Linked DNA regions of Lepisosteus oculatus. The main gene of each other region encodes a partner of the protein of the gene in region 2 in a complex. Links are inferred from orthologs where the notes say so. Each region holds a gene or a part of one and is shown on either strand. Other genes may lie near its edges.

Region 1 (11,698 bases), about 7.5 Mb from region 2:
GTAGCTGCTTGGCCTTCGCCTCTCGGCTGACTGCCCCCTCTCTCTCTCCAGGTGGATCTCCACTTCCCCAAGACGGTGTCGGAGGGCGCGCGGGACCTGATCTCCAAGCTGCTGCGCCACAGCCCCACCATGCGGCTCTCGCTGAAGGGCGTGCAGGAGCACCCCTGGGTCAAGAGCAACTCCCGCCGCGTGCTGCCCCCCGTCTTCACCCCCAAGAAAGCCTAACTGGGGCATCTGCCGGCGCCTGTGGGACGCATCGTGGCCTTTCTTGCGGTCTGCACGCCTGGCCGGGAAACGAAACCCTGCTGCTGTCCGAATCTCCACTCCAGGGAACTGCAGCTCTTTGTGCAGAGCCTCTCCAATCCAACCTTCACTGAACCTCCACATACAATACAGCAGCGCCCCTGCAGAAAACCAACCTGCCCCTCTGGAGGTGGGGGTGGGGGGGCTCATCCTGATCTGCAGTCATTTCTCTCGAACCTCAGCTACTTTTCATCCCTGTTCCCTCTGCTCTGTGGGTTTTAGCACCTGTACCATCTGTGTGGGCTCTGCTGGAAACAACTGGCTGGCGCCCCCTGGTGTCGGGGAGGTGGAGGTGTTCCTCAGGACCTGAAGCCTTGGACCTCAACAGCAGGACAGGATCTTTGCTGTGAGGTTGTTTGAAGAACAGGGACTGTCTTGACCGGTCTTTTAGTTTTTGGAGTTGTAGTATCTCACTGTCTCTGTTAATAGCCATTCCTGGAACTTGTTATTCTGGCTGAAAAAAAAAATTTTATGCAGGTTTATGAAAAGTCTTCCACGGTCAAAGGCACAGTATGCCGTTCTTGTATGTCTTGTCTTATATATGTTGTCTGAATGTTCTCTGTTGTATCCCAATGTAAATAAATTATACTGGAGATCCCAGCATGCTAAGTGTTGGCCTGGGGGTCCTCAAGGTGGCATTTTTGAATTACAGCTGTTTTGAGGAAGCTTTGCGGCTATCTGTAAGGGAAGAATATGCAATTTTCTGCCTTGAATTGTCTTGAAAGGAGTTAAGACAAGCTGGCTCAACCTGCCTTTTTTTAGTACGGAGACTGTGACCGCATTTTCTGGAATGTAGAGGCGCTCGGACTGCTTCAAGCAGTGCTGCCCAGCACCAGACCTAGTGCAGCCTGTAGGTTTTTATTTCAATTAATGAATCAACTGGCTTCATTGGAGCTGTATAACAGCTGCTGATTGATAGGTGATGCTTTATTTGGCGAATGAGAGTTCTGGTGCCAGTAAGCTGTTCTCATAGGGTTGGATTTGGAAATATTGAGGATTAGCGTGACTTCTTTTAGACTGTTGAAATCTACTGTTTTTATGTTTCGTCACCACTGGGATGTGTTTTAGAAAACCAATAAATTCTTTATACAATGTAAGGTGCTGGATGTTTCTTTATAGCTATTTACTGTGGGCTTTTAAAGGGTTTTCTTTTAACAGTGATGCAGGGCACAAGTAGAATAAAAAGCTCACAAGAGGTGCTGGACTGCACATACAATGTTATCTCTGCATTCAATTCCTGTGACTCCAGGAAAAGAGTGATCTGGTTTCCTGAGCCATGCTGCCATTTCCTGCTCTGGTTATTCCCCTTCTAGTGAGCAGGTTCACTGGTTTCTGCTGATCTTTTATCCATCAGCCTCCACTCCATCAGTTGGCTGTCGTTCTGTGCCATATGTTTTGCTCCCTCTTGGGAACATCCACCAATCCGTGTTTGAGACGAGGTTAAATTAGACCCAGTCGTGGAAGTTGTCGTGGTTGGCTCAAGACCATTCCCTTCATCTTGCTCGGGTTCACAGGGAGGGGTTTATGCCGTTTCTCTTGTGATGAAACGGCACCTCCAGTGGCAGGTCTGTCCGTCGCTGCAGAGCTTCAGTCCTGTGTGCAGTGCCGGGCTGTCTGCTCCAGGCTTGGGGTGTGCTGCACAAGGACCAGGAAGGATCTCGGTCTCTTCTGGGCGATTGTGCTCTGATTGGCGTTTGTGTCAGACCTGCTGTTTTTAATAATCTGGGACTCTGCATGATTTCAAACCAGGGAGAGATTTCTTCACAATCGCTGAGCATTTTTTCCAGCTATGGTGGTTTTGCCAAAAAAGGGTGACTATAGAAATTGCTGAATGTCTAGTGGTGGGATAAGTCTGACTTCCACCACACTTCAACTTGTAGTGTTTTAATTGGCCTGATTTCATTCTTGAGATCTCTTTGTTGTCCTACGTGCTCCTAGTAACGATGAAGCTTTCAGCTGGCTTTTGATATGTAAAAGTTAAATGCTGCTATATGCAGAATAATTCAAAAAGTTTGCAGTGAGTCAAATTTATTGGTTGAAAGAGGGGATTGGGGAGGGGGCGTCATCAGGAGTGTGGTTGCATAGGGGGGTCCTAAAGGCCTGGATTGGGCCAATGGCCTGGTTTGGGATGCAAGCAGAACGCCAGGCCTTTTGTTTGTGATTTAAAGTATACAGTTAAAAAATCTCATCTCGCCTCGCCTCCCCTCCACCCCTTCTGATGCTGCGACTGGCAGAGCACTGTGCCACTTTGAATTCCAAGATGCTGAAGGCGCTGTCGCCCGCTCGCTGCCAGCCTAAAAATAGCTGCCGTCAGGCCGGCACGGGCGGAGAGGAGTCGGGAGATTATCCGATGCGACAGTGGCAGCCCCCCCACTTTTCACACACGTCAAGTGCAGCAGTGTTGAGGGTGCGAAGTGGGTGCTGGGACCTAATTAACACCTGGGCCTGGTGTGAGAGCCTGGCTGCCTGGAATTCTTTCAATCCGAAGTTGAGGTGTTTGTGTAGGAGAGAAGAAGGGAAAAAAAGAGGCGAGAAGCAACTATCTTGTTGGCGATTCCCCCAGGATTCCTAGAGAATCCGTAGGCAGTGCAAGCACAGAAACGGGAGACGTGTGGATCCGTTTCGAACCAGATTTATGTTTATAAATCTTTTTGTTCTTGAGCTCTCCAAAGATGTTCAGCATTTTGGGTGCTTTGCAGTGGCAGAAAGAAGGAACGATGATAATTGCTTATGCTTATATAGTACTTTTCTGGACACTCTACTCAGAACACATCACAGGTAAAGGGGACTCCCCTCCACCACCACCACCACCACCACCACCACCACCACCCATGTGCAGCCCCACCTGGATGATGCAATGGCAGCCATAGTGCACCAGTACACCCACCACACACCAGCTGTCAGTGGAGAGGAGAACAGAGTGATGGAGCCAGTTCAGAGATGGGGATTATTAGGAGGCCATGACTGGTAAAGGCCTGCGGGAAATTTAGCAAACACCCCTATTCTTTTTGAGAAACACCCACACAGACCACAGGGTGAGCGCCCCCTGCTGGCCCTACTGACACCTCTTCCAGCAGCAACCTTAGCTTTTCCAGTAGGTCTCCCATCCAGCTACTGGCCAGGCTCACAGCTGTTGAGCTTCAGTAGGACTGCCAGTCGAGAGCTGCAGGGTGATATGGCTGCTGGTAAGCAGAGCCGGGAGAGAGCTTTCCTCTCAATGCATTGATCTGGTGCCCCAGGAGATCATTACTCAGGAGTAATGGGGAACAGATTCCATCACCAGATCTCCTCCAATTTCCTCCTACTCCCAGCTCAGATCCTCATTTTTTCTACCTGCTATCGACAGACACTGCCCTTCCTTGTAACAGCTGTCCGAATTAATCTTGTGGGCTACCAGAGAGTGTCGGTTTGTATTAAAGAGCTCAAGAGTGGAGACCGATCAGATGAGACCACTTCAGCACTTGTTTCTGATTTGTACATTAGTAACTCATCCAGAGTTTTCCTGAAAGACTCCAAGACGATAGTTTTGGTTTCGTAACTGGGCAGCTTGTTCCAGACTCCCACTGCCCTTTGTGTAAAGAGGTGCCTCCTACTCTTGAGTGTCGCATGCCGGCGACTTCGTATTCTCATTTTTGTTGATTGCTTTCAGTTATGTCAATTTATTTAGCAGAATTCAACCCTTATCTATTTTCTTATATATTTTTCGCCATCAGCATTGTAACTCGGCCAGCGCCTTGCATCGTCTATCTCTTAAGTGTTGTTGTTACGAATGCGACTGCGCCAGGCGGAGAGCGGGATCTGTGTTTTTCTGATTTACCACATATGGTAAAGGAATGGTACACGTCTGGATTAAATCGATCCTTTCCCTGGCAAATACTTTGTGTCTTAAAGAATTACGTCTTCTGCCCAAGCAAGATATTATGATGCCCTAATGTTTAGGTGCAAGCCTTTTGCGTGAATAACTGGTTTGCTGTGAAATCCGAGAGAAATAAATAAAAGAATTAAAGTTTGGAGTAGGCGCAAATAAAGTCATTCATACTTTTTCAGAGACGGCTCGTATGGTAGCGTGGCCGAGCGGTCTAAGGCGCTGGATTAAGGCTCCAGTCTCTTCGGGGGCGTGGGTTCGAATCCCACCGCTGCCAATAATCCATTTTAGTTTAAAATAGTTCAGAATTAGGATAGACAAGGAGATACCATCTGTGGTGATAGCAGTTTTACAGACTGTGCGGCAGCTTTGCTCATTTTTCTGCAGATCCCTAGCGTGAAGAAGCGCGGTCAGATCTGAAATCCCAGCTCTCTTTCCACATGCTCAGTCTGCAGGCTCTCGAGCTTGTTGCCTTCGGTCCAGTTAAGCAATGTTTTGGGGGGGGGGAAGGGTGGAGTGTAGGGGCGGGGAGAGGGCTGTCACGGAAAGGTCAATTTTTTGTTTTGTACCTGTTCAGATTTTATTTTCACAAAGCAACACACCCCGCTTCGGACGATTTGAATTCATCGCTCAGCCTTCGTGACGCGCTGAAACGTTCTAGAATTTGAGACGCGGGAGATGGATTTTATTTATTTGTTTGTTTGTTCAAAAAAGAAGGCCACGCTACGAGTTAAAAGTTGGGCGGCATCTTTCTGGCGCTGCCGACAGGTCCAGAAGCCAGAGAGCCAAGTCACTGCGCCGCCATTTTGTTGTGCCTCCCACGGTACCCTGGCTCTCTTTCCCGTCTTTCTCCTCTCTCGACATCGTTTCTCTGAGGCGTAAATACACCCTCCCTTCCCCGGTAACACTCCTGCGTTTAAAATACAGGACGCCCCTTCGTCTTTTTTCCAAACAATTCACGAAAATGAGACTTTTTGCAAAATACAGCGCCATGTATATGTATGGCCGTTATGTTACAGCGCCATCTTCCCTCATCCTCGTCATCTATTTGAAAAGCTGACAGGAAAACATTCAGGGGGAAAAAAAAACTATAACATGTAAACATTAGGACTAAGCCGTGTAATGAGAGCCGGGGCTTTGTGCGAGTGTGCGGGGGGGAGGCGGGGTGGGGCGACTCTTAACAGTGTGCAGGGAATGCAGGACTACAACAACAGGAAAAGATTTTTAAAAACTTTCCGACAATTAAGCGTTTTAACAAAAACAACGCCGCTGTTCGACTGTTTCGTGAGGAAACAGAAAAACGCACCCCAGGATAGACGGTTTGTCCCCTGAAAAAGCTGACATTAATGACAGACACAACTAAAAAAAAAAAGAAAAAACACCCCTTTATGAACTTGACCTATTGAAAATTCACCCAGACTGCTAGTACACTGTTAGTTCGTGTTCTGGAGAATAAAAAGAAGAAGCGCTAGTTCAGTAGATATTTTAAAAGTTTATTTTTTCCCGTCAATATAGCACGATTCCCAGTATATTGCCTACAGGTTATGCGATTCCAACCCCCCGCCCCCTCCATCTCTCCAGCTCCCCGGAGCTGCCCCGGATGACGGATGACGTCAACAGGCCATCTTTGTTCTCAGAGCCCAGCGCCTGTGTTTTTTTTTTTCCCAATATCCCTACAGCTCGAGCGCCTGGACCCATCCGCGCGCGAGGCAGCCATCCTCTCCCATCGATTTGCACGGTAGAAACTGAATAAATAAGACCGAAGACGGGGACAGGACCACCGCCTACAATATAAAGGGACACATCAGCGACCGCAGCGGGGGAACATAAAATACAAACATCGACAAAATCTGAACAGAATATTTAAAAAAAATATATTGACACCTATTCACAAGAAAAATAATCTAGAACGCCAGAAGCATATACTTAACAGACCACAAACGAGATGTGAGTACGAATAATTGGTTTTGCATGTAGGCGTTAGGTATAATATATATATATATTTGTATTTAATTGTCTGCTAAATGAGGATTTTCACAGGCGGGCGAGATGCAATGAATACACCCCAGGCTGCCCTACCCCTGCCCTCTCTCCGAATTGCCAGAAAGGGTCAGATAACGGGGCGGCAGAGTGGATATTTTCCGAGTGTCCTTTTATTTCACCACCGTATGAGAGGACAGAGAGAAATAATGAAGCGTCTTGTTTAAACGCAGTACTGTGTCACTCCGGACAGAACCAGCCCTTCGCGTTGTGTTGTACAGGAGCCGAGAAATGTTTGTAATTATTGTCACTTTTAATTTTGTTTTCCCCCCTAATCATCTCTTAGAAATACGCTTTCCTTTCGGCGAACAACACAAGCCTCTCTCGCCATCTCACGTGGGTTGGATGTAAACCATTTGTGTCGGGTTTCTAGCCGATTTTCTTCGGCGTTTTGAGTCGCAAAACAAGCGGCTTAGACGACTCCCTGCGCTGGTTTGCGAGAAGCGAGCGGGGGTCGCGGTTTTGGGTCAAGACGTTGATGGCGTTTGTGCCGACAGCGCTGTGGTTCCCTGTCTTACATGGGGGCGATATCCCGGGGTAATCGCGGCGCCCGTTCGTGGGCTTGTGTAGGGCTGTCACGGGAGGACGGAGAGGGGGCTGGGTGTGCGGTTCTGGACGGTCCGGGCGCCAGTGGACCGCATCCCCACCGAGGAAGGACTCCGTGTTTCCCGGCCGATCAGGGCCGGCTGCTGGGATTTCGGGATGGCGATATCACCCCCGGTCTCGACAGGTTGATCGCGACAGGGGAAGGAAAAGCAGTCTGGTTTGGATGCAGCCCGGTGCTCCTGACTGCGATGTGTTCGCCCACAGCTACACTGTAATGTAGCTCGGAAAGATGGACAGAAGACTCGACCTGACAGGTTTTCCGCTGCCCGTCGTTGTAATAAGGGATCTGGTTGCTTAGGCGTCCACTCTGATATTTGTTTTTGAAAGGGAGCAAACATGACTGTTTCAGAGGAGCACAATTTATATAAGATGTCAGAAATATGGAGGATGAGGGTGATGGTGATGACGATGATGGTGATGATGATGACGGGCAGAACGCTGTCATTTATAGCGCTGGCGACCGGGGGCTCGTGTCGGTCGTCCGCCGCCTCAGGTGACGGATCGGGAGCAGAGAGCGGACCGGCGGCCGGAGTCGGTTCTGTGAGCTTCACCGATCCAAAACGAGCGTGGAGCCGCAGGGATCGGGCGTGATTATGGAAATTTAACGATATATTTTTTTTTTAAAGAGGGGGTATTTTTGTATTCAGCGCTTCGTGAATGTGATTGTAATGTGATTGAGCGTGCAGGTTTTTTTTTTTGATGAATCACGCTTCTCGAATGAGCTACCCCCCTCCTCCTCCTCCTCCTCGCCCCCCCCGTCTCTCTCACCCTCTCTCCGGTTTAACGGAGAGGTAGGGCTCCACCATCCAGCCCACGACGCACTCGGGTGTATCCGCGCCGCCCCGAGAAGATGAGGTGTTGTCTTTTTAAAACCGGACACCCGAGGAGTACACGGGGGGGGTCGCGCCGGGTGGGCGGGCGGAAAGAGCTAACTTGTCATTCTCAGGCCCCGGGGTGTGAGTGTGCGCAGATCCCCCCATCTCCGCGTCCTGTCCCCTGCCTCCTGCCTCTCGCCTCTTCTTGCGTTGTAGCTCTCTGTCCGTCACTTACACGCCACTAATCTGCATGCAATCACAGCAAAGACAGGTTGCTCTTGCCTGGTATGTTCTCTGTGCCTTTGTTTACATGTGTCCATCCATATCTCTCAAAATATCAAGGGTGCCCTGTCTCGAATACACTTGGGCGAGAAGATCGCCGATATGTACCTGCAATACACACCTGAAATGCCGCACCGCATTTTTTTGGTTTTGTTTTCGCGGTGAGGTTGCGGCGTGTACTTCTGTATAAAAGCAAACCTCTCGTTCTGGGGATCCGTCTCTGACGTGACGCGTTCCTGCGTAGGGCACGAGAGCGCAGCTCGCCTCTCGCCTCTCGCCGGCGGGCGGGAGTGCGCGCCCGTGCGCGGCGCGTGTTGGCAGGGCCAGGCTCCGCTCTTCCAAGATGGCTGTGGCGTCAAACCCCTTGAGCAGCGCGGGGAGGAGGGGAGGGGGGGTGTTGTGTTTTTATTTCTTGGAAGAGGACGGATTTGCCGTCTAAAAATAGCTCGAGACGCGAATAGTGGTAGATCTGGAATCAAATGAAAGCAGAGGAATGAACACAATTTTATCAGAAGTCCAGTGGTATAGGTCCTGTGACAGTAACCCATGGCTATTTCACTTGGGGATTTCCGTATGAGCAGCATCTGGCTTTTGAGCAACACACCAAAGAAGAGGTTTAGTGTGGATTTTACACAGCACTCTGCACTGTGGGATTAACGTGACACCACTTAGAGGTGACCTTTATTCGGAATTCTGTCTCCCCCGGCTGGCTGGACTGTGTCATGGCGGGTCTTGCGCCAGAAGGCTCATGTTTACCATATTAATCACACAGCCAGTTGTCTGATGTTTTATTGGTAGTCACAGTCACAGGGATAGACTCTTATAGTCCCTGTGGAGTCCAGTACACTGACACAGCCCAGTCACAGGGCTCTAGACTCTTACAGTCCCTGTGGAGTCCAGTACACTGACACAGCCCAGTCACAGGGCTCTAGACTCTCACAGTCCCTGTGGAGTCCAGCACACTGACACAGCCCAGTCACAGGGCTCTAGACTCTTACAGTCCCTGTGGAGTCCAGTACACTGACACAGCCCAGTCACAGGGCTCTAGACTCTCACAGTCCCTGTGGAGTCCAGTACACTGACACAGCCCAGTCACAGGGATAGACTCTCACAGTCCCTGTGGAGTCCAGCACACTGACACAGCCCAGTCACAGGGCTCTAGACTCTCACGGTCCCTGTGGAGTCCAGCACACTGACACAGCCCAGTCACAGGGCTCTAGACTCTTACAGTCCCTGTGGAGTCCAGCACACTGACACAGCCCAGTCACAGGGCTCTAGACTCTCACAGTCCCTGTGGAGTCCGGCACACTGGCGCAGCCCAGTCACAGGGCTCTAGACTCTCACAGTCCCTGTGGAGTCCAGCACACTGACACAGCCCAGTCACAGGGCTCTAGACTCTCACAGTCCCTGTGGAGTCCAGCACACTGACACAGCCCAGTCACAGGGCTCTAGACTAGATTTATATAGGGTTTGGTTATTGTAGGTCCATACTTCCAGTGGAAAAGCCAAATTCCTGCCATCATTTTATGCTTTAAAGAAGAGAACAAGAATCCAAAGGACATTTACAAACATGTTTTTAGAGTGTTCACAGGTATCCAAAAGCTTGACCGATTTCAGGCTTAGTTGAAAGTCATGAATGTTGCTGACTCTACTTCATTTTTCCAATTGACAAAGAGGCCCACTGCTAGAATGGGAGTAGTGGCTTCTCCTGGTTGCCGCTCCCTGAGATGATGATGATCAGTTTGTGCTTTGACTGGGCTGGCATTCTGCTTCCATGAGAACGTCTGTTCTAACTGGTTGGCAGGCTGTGGTGTGGCTCTGCTGTGTCCTGCGCGAATGTGTGATAACCCCTGTTTTGACTGTTTGATTGACAGGTCTGCCCCGGCTGCCGCCCCAGCTGCTGCACCTGGAGAAGGGGGAGCTCCACCTGCCCCCCAGCAGCCCCCCAACCTCACCAGCAACCGACGCCTGCAGCAGACGCAGGCCCAGGTGGACGAGGTGAGCGGGCAGACGAGCGCATGGGCTGGCCGTGACAGACTCGCCCCCCGACAGACTGACTTGGCTCTCCTTGCTTTGACGGTCCTTCACGAACGCGCTGGCGGATCTCACGTGCTGAAACACCCGCAGATGTATGGGGATTCGCAGACACCAACAGACAGACTGAAGCTCTGAGCCATGCACTGATACAGAGAGTTTAGACCCAGTCAGATGTGCGGAGTGCTCAGATGCACTAATAGACCGACACAGGAATTGTCTCGAGTGGGAAGGGTGACAGCAGTAGATCCTGTACTGAGAGATTTGCCACTTCCTGTGGAGTCCAGTACACTGACACAGCCCAGTCACAGGGCTCTAGACTCTCACAGTCCCTGTGGAGTCCAGCACACTGACACAGCCCAGTCACAGGGCTCTAGACTCTCACAGTCCCTGTGGAGTCCAGTACACTGACACAGCCCAGTCACAGGGCTCTAGACTCTCACAGTCCCTGTGGAGTCCAGCACACTGACACAGCCCAGTCACAGGGCTCTAGACTCTCACAGTCCCTGTGGAGTCCAGCACACTGACACAGCCCAGTCACAGGGCTCTAGACTCTCACAGTCCCTGTGGAGTCCAGTACACTGACACAGCCCAGTCACAGGGCTCTAGACTCTCACAGTCCCTGTGGAGTCCAGTACACTGACACAGCCCAGTCACAGGGCTCTAGACTCTCACAGTCCCTGTGGAGTCCAGCACACTGACACAGCCCAGTCACAGGGCTCTAGACTCTCACAGTCCCTGTGGAGTCCAGTACACTGACACAGCCCAGTCACAGGGCTCTAGACTCTCACAGTCCCTGTGGAGTCCAGCACACTGACACAGCCCAGTCACAGGGCTCTAGACTCTCACAGTCCCTGTGGAGTCCAGTACACTGACACAGCCCAGTCACAGGGCTCTAGACTCTCACAGTCACTCTGGAGTCCAGTACACTGACTATGTGCAACTTCATTTTAATCTAAGTGAGCAAGAGTCACAAAGGGTGGCAGGAGCAGTAAACAATCTGCTCAGCCACAATGAGACCCTGGTGTCCTACAAGAGACAGCTGGAAATGGTCCTCTGATCAATTAGCTACAGACCACAAAAACTGTCCGGAAGTGCCGAATGGCCTCTCGTATGTGTCCTGCCTTCTTGAGTCGGCGGCTGCATCACCAGCGGCGCTCTGCCTCTCCGGCTGTCCCCGCAGGTGGTGGACATCATGCGCGTGAACGTGGACAAGGTCCTGGAGCGCGACCAGAAGCTGTCGGAGCTGGATGACCGGGCCGACGCGCTGCAGGCCGGGGCCTCGCAGTTCGAGACCAGCGCTGCCAAGCTGAAGCGCAAGTACTGGTGGAAGAACCTGAAGGTGAGGGGAGCCACTGTGGCAGGTGATAGCTGATATAATAATAATAAAGCCTTACACTTATACATATATATATAGCGCTTTTCTGGACACTCCACTCAAAGCGCTTTACAGGTCATAGGGATCCCTTCCACCACCACCAGTGTGCAGTCCCACCTGGATGATGCACCAGTACTCTCCCCACACACCAGCTCTCAGTGGGGAGGAGAACAGAGTGATGAAGCCAGTTCAGAGAGGGGGATTATTAGGAGGCCATGACTGATAAAGATCAGGGGGAAATGTGGCCAAGACACTTGGGTTAACACCCCTACCAGATTCGAGAAACACCCTGAGATATCTAATGACCACACAGAGTCAGGACCTCGGTTTTATGTCTCATGTGAAGGACGGCGCCTTTTTACAATAGAGGGTCCC
Region 2 (11,789 bases):
CCCTCTAGCGGATGGCATTACAGTATGGGAATGTGCTCCCTGAGGCCCAATTCATAAGTGTAATTACATTATTTTGCTGAATTTCTGAAGTATTTTATTACATAAGCAAGGTGACTTAAAAAGGCACCAGAACATGGAAGGATGAATGGATGGAGTTCAGGTTATACCAACAAGAACGGCAAATAAAGCCTTCTTGCTTTATTTCCATTCAAGATTTTAATTTATTTTCCACAGACAGCTGATGAGGGAAAGCTGATCTGTGTTTTCAGCTCTGCCACAGCACATACTAGCAGCAACACTGACTGTCCATTGACACGTTCAGGTTAAAATGTTGTGGCTACATTTGAATCCTTTATGAGTTTTACCACAGTTTGTTTTCTGAATGTCACTGCTCTTTTTTTCCCCACACATTAACATCTGCTTGACAGACATGCTGAAATAACACTCCCACAGCTGTCATAGCAGAAAAAACACAAAAGGCATTTTCACATTGCAATTTGCTTCCAAGATGTCAAAGGGCTTGAATAACCTGTCCTCACAATAATAATTGTAATTATCATTATTTCTGTCCTTAAAAAATGAATAAAGATTTCAAACACGAAACACATGCTGAATCACAGCTTGAGAGGCAAGGAAATTGGCACCTAGGGGATGCTCAGCATTTGAAGATTTCAAACGCCTGATTAGGCGGAGTGAAAGGTATGTAATTATCTTTTACAAGAGCGCATCAGTCTGCGAAGTGCATTTTTCTCTGCTCCTATTCGTAAAATATTAAAGGCGATTTCAGGGCCTCTCAGAAGACCACAGGGTATGTCCGGGGGAAGGAGCTTCTGACCACTTCTTTTCCTCCATGCAAATTTAACTGGACAGCAGGCTGCAGATCACTCTTCAGTTAAATCCAGCTTTCCAGCACTCCCAACGTGATGCCCAAAGAGTCTCAGAACTGTAATATCTGTGGAATCGCCTGAGAGTTCCTACAACCATACTGTCATTCCCACAGCATAAACATCAGCCTCTGGCCCCACACTGCTGTGCTTCAGAAAGTCCAGAACCCAGACCCCGCTGTGTGTCCTTGTATGGGATCACTGTCACTGATCGATTTCGCACAACTTCTGATTTCCCCCAATAGTGATGCGATTCAGCGTGGAACAAGAACGAGGTGAAAGGCAGGCTGTCCGAAGCTGGGCTGACACAAGCCTTGTCTTTCAGCTGTGGGACTGCAGAGAGGGGTTCAGCTCAGGAGCAGACCGGTTGCATTTCTGACAATACAGCACCACGTCAAACTCACCCTTTCAGACTACATCTTCCAATCTTCTGGATAGTGCGTGTATTCCTGCAACTTGGCTAATTTAAATAGCATTGAACTGCCTTTGTTTGACTTGCTTTAAATTGTATCTTTAGAGCCCGTGATTCATCATACATGTACCTACTACTGTAATGAATCATTTGTTGTATTATGTTGATTTTTTTTCTACCAAAATAAACTTTAGTCCACAACAGACATCTTACAATGAGTACACACTCTAACAAACCATAAACCTCTACTCAATTAAAAAAATATCGGGTGATTGTCCATTTTCAATCAAAGCAAGTGGATTCTGGGGCTGGATTTGCACAATAAAAAGAGTTCCTCTGAGCCCCACCACTTACTGTTTTCAATGTCATGTTGAAATGTTGCAACTAACACTTGTCTTTTGGCATACAGTATGCTGATCTACAGTACATCTTTGGTGCAGTCAATTCATTTTTTTCCCTCTTTGTTCAGGGTGAAGTGAGAATCGCCTTCACCAGGTGTAAATTTGCTGTCACAAAGAAAGAGGAGCTCTTGAAAAGGAGTGAGCTAATGAGTGTCTGCCTCGAGGGCCAGGGAAGCTCCCTGCGGGCGTCTCTGCATGGCCTCGTATTGACACCCAGCAGCCCCGCTGGGCGCAGACTGTCTCCCTCGCGGGGGCCCGGCTGGCAGGAGGTGCTCCTTGCAGAGAGGAGATGTTCTCCAGGAGCTGCGAGTTCCTGACACCCTGCAGCCTGCTGGCACGGCGCCCAGCGGGCAGACCATCATTACTGCTCTCACAGCCATGGGCCCAAGAGCCCGGCCACACAGTAACGCCAAGCACGGCAGATCTTTACTCATCCGCATGGCACACGGGCAGCACCAGCACCTCACAGCACCAGGGTTCTGGGTTCGACTCCGGCTCTGTATTCTGCACGATTGCATGGGTTTTCCCCAGGTTCTCTGGCTTCCTCCCATTAGCACCTCTGAATCGTGTCCTTTAAGCGTGCCCTGGGTGCCCTGTGACAGACTGGCACCCTGTCCGGGGTGTAGCCACAGCTGGGCCCTGTGCCTGTCGGGTCATGCTCGAGCCCAGCAGAATACAAAAGGATGGGCGAACGTACTGCACCTACAGTATACCTCTCCACTGACGTCTGAACAATCCGACTGGAATAAAACTAGGAAAATGGCTTTTTTAGAGAGCGTTGGGGTAACTGCTGACTTCATATGTTTGTGAAGTGAATACATAACCCCCCCTCCACCCCTGTTAAAAATACCCATGGCGAGGAATTAGCTCCAGCACAATGAGATTCCTGCAGTTCCAGCAGGGAGCAGAGCAGTGCCATTATAAATAGCTTCCATTAAAAAGCCACTTCGCAGCAACAAACATTCACCTGGCTTTCCTGAATTTCTTTACACTTTCTGCATTCCGTTTTCTCGCAGGGAATCTGCACCTGTGCTGCTGTTCAAACACTCTACCCTTTCGAACTGTCCGGCGGAGAGGGAAAGAGCGCGCGCTAAATCTGAAGATACACAGGTGGGGATTTTAAATATTGCACAGTGTGACTGGAAAATAAGATTAATACATCATCACATGGCAGGAGTGATGTGCCACTTTTATCTTAAGCCCTGTTCACAATATTTAACAGAAAGGATCAAAAGACTATATTTATCTGAGTAAACAATCCATCACACCCTGAGCTTCTTTTTTATTTCCTTGTGAAACACCCGTCTCCTGTGTCGAAGTCCTTGCTCCACAAGAGCAGTTCACAACAGTGGGCAGCAATTGAGAAGAAGGGCAGTGTGAACATAGACAAGGGATTAAAGCCACTGCTCTTGTCTCACCGCCTCAGCGGCTCCAGAAAATGCTGCAGAACTCAGAATTGCTTTAGGACATCGCTATAAGGTAGAACTTATTTTGAGACCCCGGCTACAATGGACTGCTCTGCTGACGATTATAAAGAAAAAGTCTACACAAAAGCAATAAAGCTCCCAGCTGGGACTGTTTAAAGAGCGAGCAGGGCAGTACTTCAATAGCAAACATCTGTTGCTGAAATGCATTATTCATGAAGACCATGCTCTTTATTCAGAAGAAGTGTGCAGCACTTTGTCACCATACTTCTCCATTTCAACCCATTTACAACCCATTAACGCTGCGCATTAGACTGCTGTTGAGGTACAGGTCTGCCTCTGCCTGGAATTAGCACCTGCATCAGTCTAAGCCCTGTGTGTTTTAGGACAGCGCAGTGCACGTTTATTTCTCTTTTCCCAACACAGTATCCCGCAGCACTGCGGAGACAGCCAAAGCATCTGCTGCACGCTTGCTTTCTGTTCTCTAAGACTGGGGAACTGGGCACCACACATCCGCTTCAGCAGAAACATCCCTCTCGGAAAGCCTGCCATTTACAAGGAGACTCGCAAGACAGGGAAATGTGCACAGATGTGTTTTTACACAAACACCTACATGGAGCTGCCAGACCACCTTATCCTCCGCCCCACAGAAGAGAACTGTGCAGGCTGTGGGACACCACATTCTCCCTGACAGGGCTCTCTGTTGGGCACAGCAGCACTTAACTGACACTCAGTCTGGTGAGATTTTCCTGGATGGTTTCCTAAAGCACATTCAGACATCTGTTTGCCATTAATTTAACATTTCGCAGGCACTGCAATGTTGAAAGGCAGGCATGGACATTCGCTGCCCCAGAGGCTCCCATGCGAAGGGCAGGTGAAGACCTTAACGCACAGAGAATGGCCTTGACCGCTTCTGGGGCGCCCCTCCAGCAAAGCTATACAGCTATACAGCTATGGAGCTCCTGGGGCGAAGCACCTCACTCAGGGCACATCAGCACTGCCCGCGTCAGGGTCTCGAACCCACAGCCAGTCTGTTCCACTACACTGCAGAAGTTTTATCTATGCAGAAGGAAGTTTCTTACTTCTAATGTAGAAACTCAGGAGTCTCCTCGTTGCGATCTATTTTCATCAGGGGTCACATGCTGTTGCTGGGAAGGCTGGAGGAGATGACTTGGCATGTGCTGGGTTTCAAAATGACTTCATCGGTGGGAAATGCCCCCCCGGCAAAAGATCATCGTGATCGTGAATAATCAAATTAGGCGTTTTGTTTATTTTAATGCTGATGATCGTTTGTTCGAAATTCTGAACCAGTTGACCTTTTAAAGGTTGCTCACATGTGAACTATGAGGTGCTGGTTGTTCACACTGATGGTGATGAGCCATTTAAAATCTCAAGTAGGGAGCTGGATCAGCAAGCATTTAGCATTTAAGGTTTATTCCTTGCTAAGAAGAGATCAAAAGAAGCACAATGTTTTAGCGGTGGAGCTTTCTTATGGCGTCTTCAACAGTAAAGAAAAAACCTTTACTTGTTCATTTAAAATCTCTGAACTTCACCCCTAATGACAAGCGTTTTTCTACTACGTCTTTTCTTTTACACTTCACAGAATCGATTTTTAGATGTGGTGCTCCTCCTAGGTTACTCCTGCTCCTTAATATGCTTGATCATGATGTGGGGTGCAGCAGGCAGGGCTGAGGCTCAGGACTCCCAGCTGCAAGCCGGCGTGCTCCAGTGCCAGACAAGACGCTGCTGCTCACTGTACTCGGGCCGAGGTACTTCACTCAGAAGCGCCTGCAAAATGCCCAGCTCTCTGAATGGATACACAAGTAAACCGCTTAGGATGTCCGCCTCAACCATAAAATTAATTATAGGAAAAGGTAACTCAATTATCTGAAATGCGCTCGCCGTTGGTTTAGGCGATTTTGAACATGTTGTTCAGACGGGTTTCCATGCCCGGCTAACTCAATCCGAGTTATCCCCGGGATCAATCGGCGACCACAGCTGTATCGACCAATGCCCAGCTGTGGAGTCTGCGCCGGTCCGGGGACACTAGGAGAACAGCCGCTGGAAACAGCGCAAATTCTAATCTTTTAGGAGTAACAAACATGCAGTCCAGTTTACGGCCAACAACAACAACAACAACAATGATCAAAACAACTTGGTTATTGGCAAGTTTTATCAATCCACCCTGAACTGAGACAATGTTACTTGAAATATTCGCATATGACAAGCACGCGAATATCTATCCGGCCGAACCGTCTCTCCGCAGGAAAACACGAAAATGCGACCAGTGCAGCCAGTACATCTGCTTCGAGCACAACCAGCGCTCGGCTCCTTCTCCCATCTCATAACGCCCCCAAACAGCTCCAGCGAAGCGACTTCCAGAATTCACCTCGAGCACGAACCCAGAGTTAAAAACACAGGTGAAAGGGGACGGGTTGCCTCTTTCACTCGTTCTAACCTGAGAGGCAACCGGGATCTGTGTACGTTATCTGACCCCGTGCTGGCCAGTCATTTCAGAAATTATTTAACGAAAAGTTCGCTTTCAGTTACCGGAAACAAAAACAAAGTTAGGGAAGAAACTTGTGTTTTACAAGTTAACTGCCGGCATGACGTTCTTACCTGTGGATGCGGGCTGTTTTCCTAGTCCCTGTGAGGCTGGAGACGAGAAAGGGCTCAGCCACCTGTATTTGCTCGCCGCCTCTGTGCCTCCGCCAGCGTGCAGTCTCCGATCTCGCTTCCTGCAGGTGCCGCAGACGCGTCTGCGATTGGAACGGCTGCGGTGGCAGTCAGCCCAGAGGTGGGGGTGGGGCCGAGCGCTATAGGCTCGCCCCAGTGAGCTTCAGCCCCTCCTCCCGGGCGGGGTCCGGCCCACGAAGCGCTCGGAGGCAGGTTGCCCCGGCAACTCGCACCTGCGAGCGTCACCTGCGGCGTGTGGCCGAGCTGGCCGGGGGGCCGGCCTGATGGTTTCGCGGGACGTGCGGTGTGCCAAGGCTGTGGGTCAAACCCGTGCAGCTGAGTGGGCAGCTGTCTTGTCGATAATTGAAGTCCCGCTCAGGGCTTTACAGGGCCTGTAAAAGGATACTGTGTTTGCACCCTGTTAAATCCCAGGCTCTCTCCCTATCTGTGTGCTGTGTCTCTCATGGAGAGCAAGCTGGGGTATGCGAAAAGATAATTCCTAATGCAAGAAATTGTATAGGGCTAATAAAGTAATGTTAAAAAATCGGCAACCACGCGTTCAGATGATTTTAAGTGATATGTTGGGCTGAAATGTTTTTGTAACGCGACGTTCTGTTATTTACAGCTGCTCCTGTTGATATTTGACTGAAGTGTTTTGCTCACGGGTAGAACACCTGTGTCCCACCTGCGGGGATTTGAACCTGCAGCTCTGTAGCAGCTAGTCGAGAGTTTGTGGTCACGCCCTGCTCTCCATCGTGTGAAGAAAACTCATTTGCTATAATCAACACGTACAAACCATCCGAACCGAATTTTACCCTTGGAGAAACCTCCGGTATAATTCTTATTCACGCATTGAAATGATATAATTAATATCATTTACAGCTGTAAGCTGTAACAAAAAAAGTTTCACGTGGTCTTCAGTTCAAAGGCGTGGCCAGTCCTGCGATGGCAGAAGTCGCTGGAGATAACAAATGAAAGATTACAATATAGACGTTTTTCGTTTTTTCATTCCGTCGCATTATTTTCAACGCTGAATATTTTTCACATGCTTTGGCAATCACAAGTTATTAACTGTTTGCACGTTACAGTGTGTATATGGAGAGTATTTGAAATATATATATAAAACAACTTTTCCTGTCTGCTCCTGGACTGACACAAAAGACAAAAAGGCTCATTGTAAACGGCGGCCCGAAGTGTGTGTGAACGCGCGTCATCAATCATGACTCAACATGGAAAGAATTGAACTCTTAGGATTCAGGAGATTAGACAGCAATCAGAGCCCAGAGTCTGTTTTAATATAGGTCCTTATCTTTTCCTGAACAGCCGAGCATCACGCCGTCAGGGACTGGAACTGAGCTAATAGCGCGGTCTGCTTTTGGGTCTTATTGAAACAGGAACTGTCGTCAGAGTCACGTAGACCGCCAAACAGCCGCTGCATTTACAAACTGAAGTGGGCAGTGCCTCGTCTTCAATGGGTAAAGGGTTTTCTGATCGGTGCTCGCTTAAAAGGTGACCTTTACGACACCAGAAAGGGCTCCGGCGCCGCTCGGCGACAGCTGTGCTGTGCGGAAAGTCCCTCTCGCTGCGTGTGCGCGGCTTCATGCGCGCCTGCGACTCTAAACTGTACCTGCTGCTCTCACGGAGTTCTGCCATTCATGGAAAACACTCCATCGCTACTGCTGTCCACTTCGCGTTCACCTGTTCGTCACACCTTTCTGATATCGATATCGATACTCGTAAAACGCAGATTCTTTCCGGTTTTGTTTCCCGGAGATGGAAAACTGCGAACTGGCGTGGAGGTCACGGCCGCCGGGCAGCTGGTGTCGGGCAGGGATCCGAAGTGCCGTTCAGCTCTGTTTGTAGTTGGCTCTGTCTAGCCCGCTCCTTATTCCTCACTCCATCCACACGTTTTCTGACCGCTTTATCCAAATCAGGGCCCCAGCAAGCAACGGGCTCAAGGCACGGCACACCACGGTCGGGACACCAGTCCATCACGGGTCACACACACACGGACACAAACACCCACGCGCTCGCACCAGAGCCAAAATTCCCAGCAGCCAATTAACACACCAGTACCCACCAGAGCACATGTGAACACGGGGAGAACATAGAGACTCCACGCAGACAGCATCAGAAATCGAACCCAGGGCCCCGGCACTGAGGGGCAGCACCACTACACCTCTGTAACTGACACTTACTTTAGTTTTAATTTTAGTAACATATCTAGTTTAGCACTTGGAAGTTTAAACTAGTTTCAATCTGTTGGTGAAAGGTCATAGAAATGATATACATACTTTTTTTTTACGTATATCTGAAGATGTATATACCTGAAGAAGGCTCCACAGCCAAAATGCTGCATTTCCTTTCTTTTCAGCCTGGAATAAACCCGTTACCTGTTCCTTTGCAGACTTTTTTATAATAGTTATGTTAGAATAAGGTCTAACATATGGGTGTATTTGTGGGTAACAGTGAAAGGGCTACTGTCCACCTTTTACCCAATTCGCAAATCAATCCCCAGCTCTTCAACATGCTTGAGCTCTACATTCAACACGAGCTCCAAACATTCATTTTGTGAAATTAATTTCCAAACTTGTCACTAGAGTATACTATCTCAACAAAGCAACTTCCTAGATCAATTAAGGCTTCAGTGATCTAATGAAGGTGGGCTGGGATGAAACCCAGCAGGTGTGTGGGTCACCAGGACCAGGACTGGGAACCGCTGCAAGAAAGGAAGGCACAGGGCACAGCTCCAGTCTTCGAGGGCTAGAGCCACTTCAAATCATCACCTGTCAAACTAGAAACTGGTGCCCTTAAGCTACGACCAGGCCGGGGAAGCCGGGGAACAGAAGTGGAACCTCTTGGTCTGGAGCAGTACACCACTGGGCTAAAGAAACTGGAAGGGTAGCAACTGATAATCATCCTTTTTTAATAACTGAGACTCCTCTTACACTTAATGTAAAATAATAATTGGAAAAAAAAAGGTATTTTACAAAACTTCTCTCTCTACTGGACGGAGTTAGAAGAACAGCCAATGCTCAAGCAGCTGAAATCCAGAACAGTTGCTGCTCTTGTGCAAGGTGGCCACCTACTGCTAGAACTGAGCACTGCAGCTGCCGAGGTCAGAACAAAAGCCATTTCAGGAGGCACTCTGTAGCGAACAGCACAGGAATGAGACAGGACACACAGGCTTGTCTGGACAGCAGGAGTGTACAGGGGTGTCAGACTCAGGTCCTGGAGGGCCTAGTGTCTTTGGGGTTTTGTTCCAACCTAAGTTATCAATCAAACACCTTAATTATTTTTTACTTAACACGTACAGTATAGGATGTTTAAGGTCTTTTACAGTTGATAAAACGTTCACTCCATTCAAAGCTCAATTACCTATAAAACTTTGTAGACACTCTGGGGCCATGTTGGAAATGGTCTAATTACACACCTGAATCCACTACGTCCACTAGAACAAAGCACCGGGCCTTCCAAGAAGGAGTTCGACACCCCCTGCTGTAAAGAGCTCATTAAGCTTTAAGTAAAAAAAAAACTGGAAACCCTCCACTAAATCTATTTTCAAAACAATGTCATCATTTACAAAACACAACGTCTCTAATGTTTCTGGACCTCCTCCAAATAAGCCAGTTAAAATAAGAAAAAAAAAAGCTTTAATGGTTTTAAACTACATCTGCCACTAGGTATGAGTATACATGCACAGTACAGGTGAGAGGGCCAGGAGCTGGTGTTAAGCACATTGCAGGTTGTAATGTGGCACAGGGCAGTTACACAGAGGGTGGGTTGGTTCTATGGCTTCTTTCTGTGCAGGCACTGTATCTGCGTCGCTGTTCAAGAATACATTGTCAGCTGCAGCCACTGAAAATGGGAAAAAAAACAGATGTTAGCTCTGCGCACACCATCTTCTGGTACAGAGACTTCTTAAAGAAATTTGTGCTGTTGGAGTTTTACTGTCCGCTCATATTCTCTGTGTTTGCAGGTGTTCTTTGTGGACATGCAGGACAACATTGACATTGACGAGAAAAACTGCTTGAAAATACCTTGAACAGTGGAAAGTGAAGCTGAAGGAATTTGAAGAGTAACAAGGTCAATATCAAGGGCATACTGTATCACCGGTCACTGACATAGCATATTTACCTCCTGAATATTGACTTTAATGATTCCATTATCATCCTTGTCCAGGGTTTTGAATGCACCTGAAATTACAAAATGGTAACATTATTTAAAATCTCCAAATGGCACACTTTGCTGAAATGGTAAAATAAAAGCAACAGAAAAAACCGCCACGAAGCATCTCCTGGGTTTTTCTAATGTTTAAGAAGTGTATTCACCCCTCCTCCTAGACAGGTCCTTCACGAACTGTACATTGAAATATATCCAGCTGCTTTTCTGGGTCTTTTTGAATCTCCAGTAGCTGATGGCTGTGGAGAATGGACCACTTGCTCTGTCAAACCTAATGTAAATGAGTTTCACCCTTCTGCCAGGGGCAGGGCTGTTAATGACTTAAGGAGATACAAAAAAAAAAAAACTGCTGGATTCCAGGTGTTGAGAGCAACTGCCAACCCAGAGCATGGGAAAACAAAACACAGTCACAAGACAGCGGCAAAAAGATACCGTGCACCGTACTGTCAAACCCTCTTCAGTGCCTTTGATCAGGTGAGAGCGACGGGTTCAGTGGCCAGTGTTCATGAATTACACTCCCTCTGCACTCTTGTGCAATGGAGGAGTCTTCAGCAGAATGCTGCCATCCTGGACGAGGAATATGTCATGTGTTCCTTCTCTCTAGCCTGAGCAACTCTGGAGCAGCTGGAGTCCTGTGCGGTTGTGCCCCGGGCCTGGCCGTGCGGCGCCCGGCGGAGAGAGGCCTCGGTACTCACGGCACATGGCGTCCAGCCGCACCAGACAGCCGATGTAGTTGTCGAAGTCCATGTTCCCGTTGTCGTCGCTGTAGCGGCGGGTGATCATCTGGAAGAGCTGGTCGTTGAGAGGGAAGCCTGCGTGTGGGGGAGGGGACAGGGGACAGCTCGTTAGCGACGAACTCATCAGGGCTTCCCCGGCGAGCCCTGGTTTCCCTTCTCGTGCAGAACAGAGACGCAGCGGTTTCCTTTCAAACCGAGGAGTAACAGGAGGGCTGGGGGATGCTGCAGCTGCAGGTTCAGCGTTTCAGCACAGCTATTCCTCTTTTTGCACAAGCTCATTCTCAGCTGCAGGTTTAGAGTCATGTGCAAGGATTGCTCAGCCTTTGCAAACGGTAGAAGAACGAAGATCAGCTCAGCTCTACATCCACACCTCTGTACAGGTCTTAGCCATCTCGGGCACAACCAGAAGTTACAACAGGGGAGCTGCAGTAAAAGGGGTAGATTTCCCCTTGTCAGTTCTCCCCTCAATTTCTGTGTCCCGATCTGCGCTGCTTTTCGTTTGTTACTGCAAATCGTAATGCAGAACCTCATTGTTTTATCACTTCAGAAGTTACATTTGGAACATTTGAAGCTAACATTCTTTTCAAAAGTTAAATATTTCATTTATAAACAGGACAAGAAGAAAGAATTAGCAAGAAACCAGATTTGCATTTGATTAACAATTCAGTTTAAGGCTACTTTTTTTGTTAACATATAGTGCATATTCTCCACACAGCTGGAGTTAGTGAAGTTAGAACGTTCTATAGCCTTAACTATTAGCCCAAAACATCTTATAGTGTTTTATGCTATTCCAACTGTTTGGATTTTTATTAATGCACTTAGTAAAAACAAAACTCAAATCGGCAATGTCCGAATATTCAGAAACCTGAGCAGAACAACTCAGGGTAAACTAGGCAAGAACAATAAATATTAGGTGACAGAATACCTAATCCATTACTTTCACCTATCATATCTCACTGACTCACTCTCGGGTAACATCGTTCCACTTGACATATTCACAAAGTTAGAAAGATGTATTTTGCAGCACAAAATACAGATCAGGATTATCTTAGCTTTCAGCACAATTGCTAAAG

Evidence for each region.
Region 1: the proteins of synaptosomal-associated protein 25 (region 2) and vamp2 are in contact, whole or in part, in a crystal structure (PDB 1SFC), measured with the Rattus norvegicus proteins. The link is inferred for Lepisosteus oculatus from reciprocal best matches to the Homo sapiens genes SNAP25 and VAMP2. Residues at the interface, in NP_112253.1 of Rattus norvegicus: Gly131, Gly132, Phe133, Ile134, Arg135, Arg136, Asn139, Leu150, Glu151, Ser154, Ile157, Gly158, Leu160, Arg161, Ala164, Leu165, Met167, Gly168, Ile171, Asp172, Gln174, Asn175, Ile178, Asp179, Ile181, Met182, Ala185, Asp186, Asn188, Lys189; in NP_036795.1 of Rattus norvegicus: Asn25, Thr27, Ser28, Asn29, Arg30, Arg31, Leu32, Thr35, Gln38, Val39, Glu41, Val42, Ile45, Met46, Asn49, Lys52, Val53, Glu55, Arg56, Lys59, Leu60, Glu62, Leu63, Arg66, Ala69, Leu70, Gly73, Ala74, Gln76, Phe77.

What each region holds. Positions count from the first base shown.
Region 1 is NC_090698.1:9,314,301-9,325,998, forward strand, and holds the start of vamp2 (vesicle-associated membrane protein 2), read left to right. Parts: upstream 1-5,794; 5' UTR 5,795-6,113; coding exon 6,114-6,115; intron 6,116-9,785; coding exon 9,786-9,909; intron 9,910-11,128; coding exon 11,129-11,287; intron 11,288-11,698. Other genes in the region: aurkb (aurora kinase B), read left to right, coding at 52-225. UniProt on the Homo sapiens protein: Involved in the targeting and/or fusion of transport vesicles to their target membrane. Major SNARE protein of synaptic vesicles which mediates fusion of synaptic vesicles to release neurotransmitters.
Region 2 is NC_090698.1:1,853,062-1,864,850, reverse strand, and holds the start of synaptosomal-associated protein 25, read right to left. Parts: upstream 5,898-11,789; 5' UTR 5,741-5,897; intron 1-5,740. Other genes in the region: calpain small subunit 1, read right to left, coding at 9,629-9,655, 9,935-9,993, 10,675-10,791.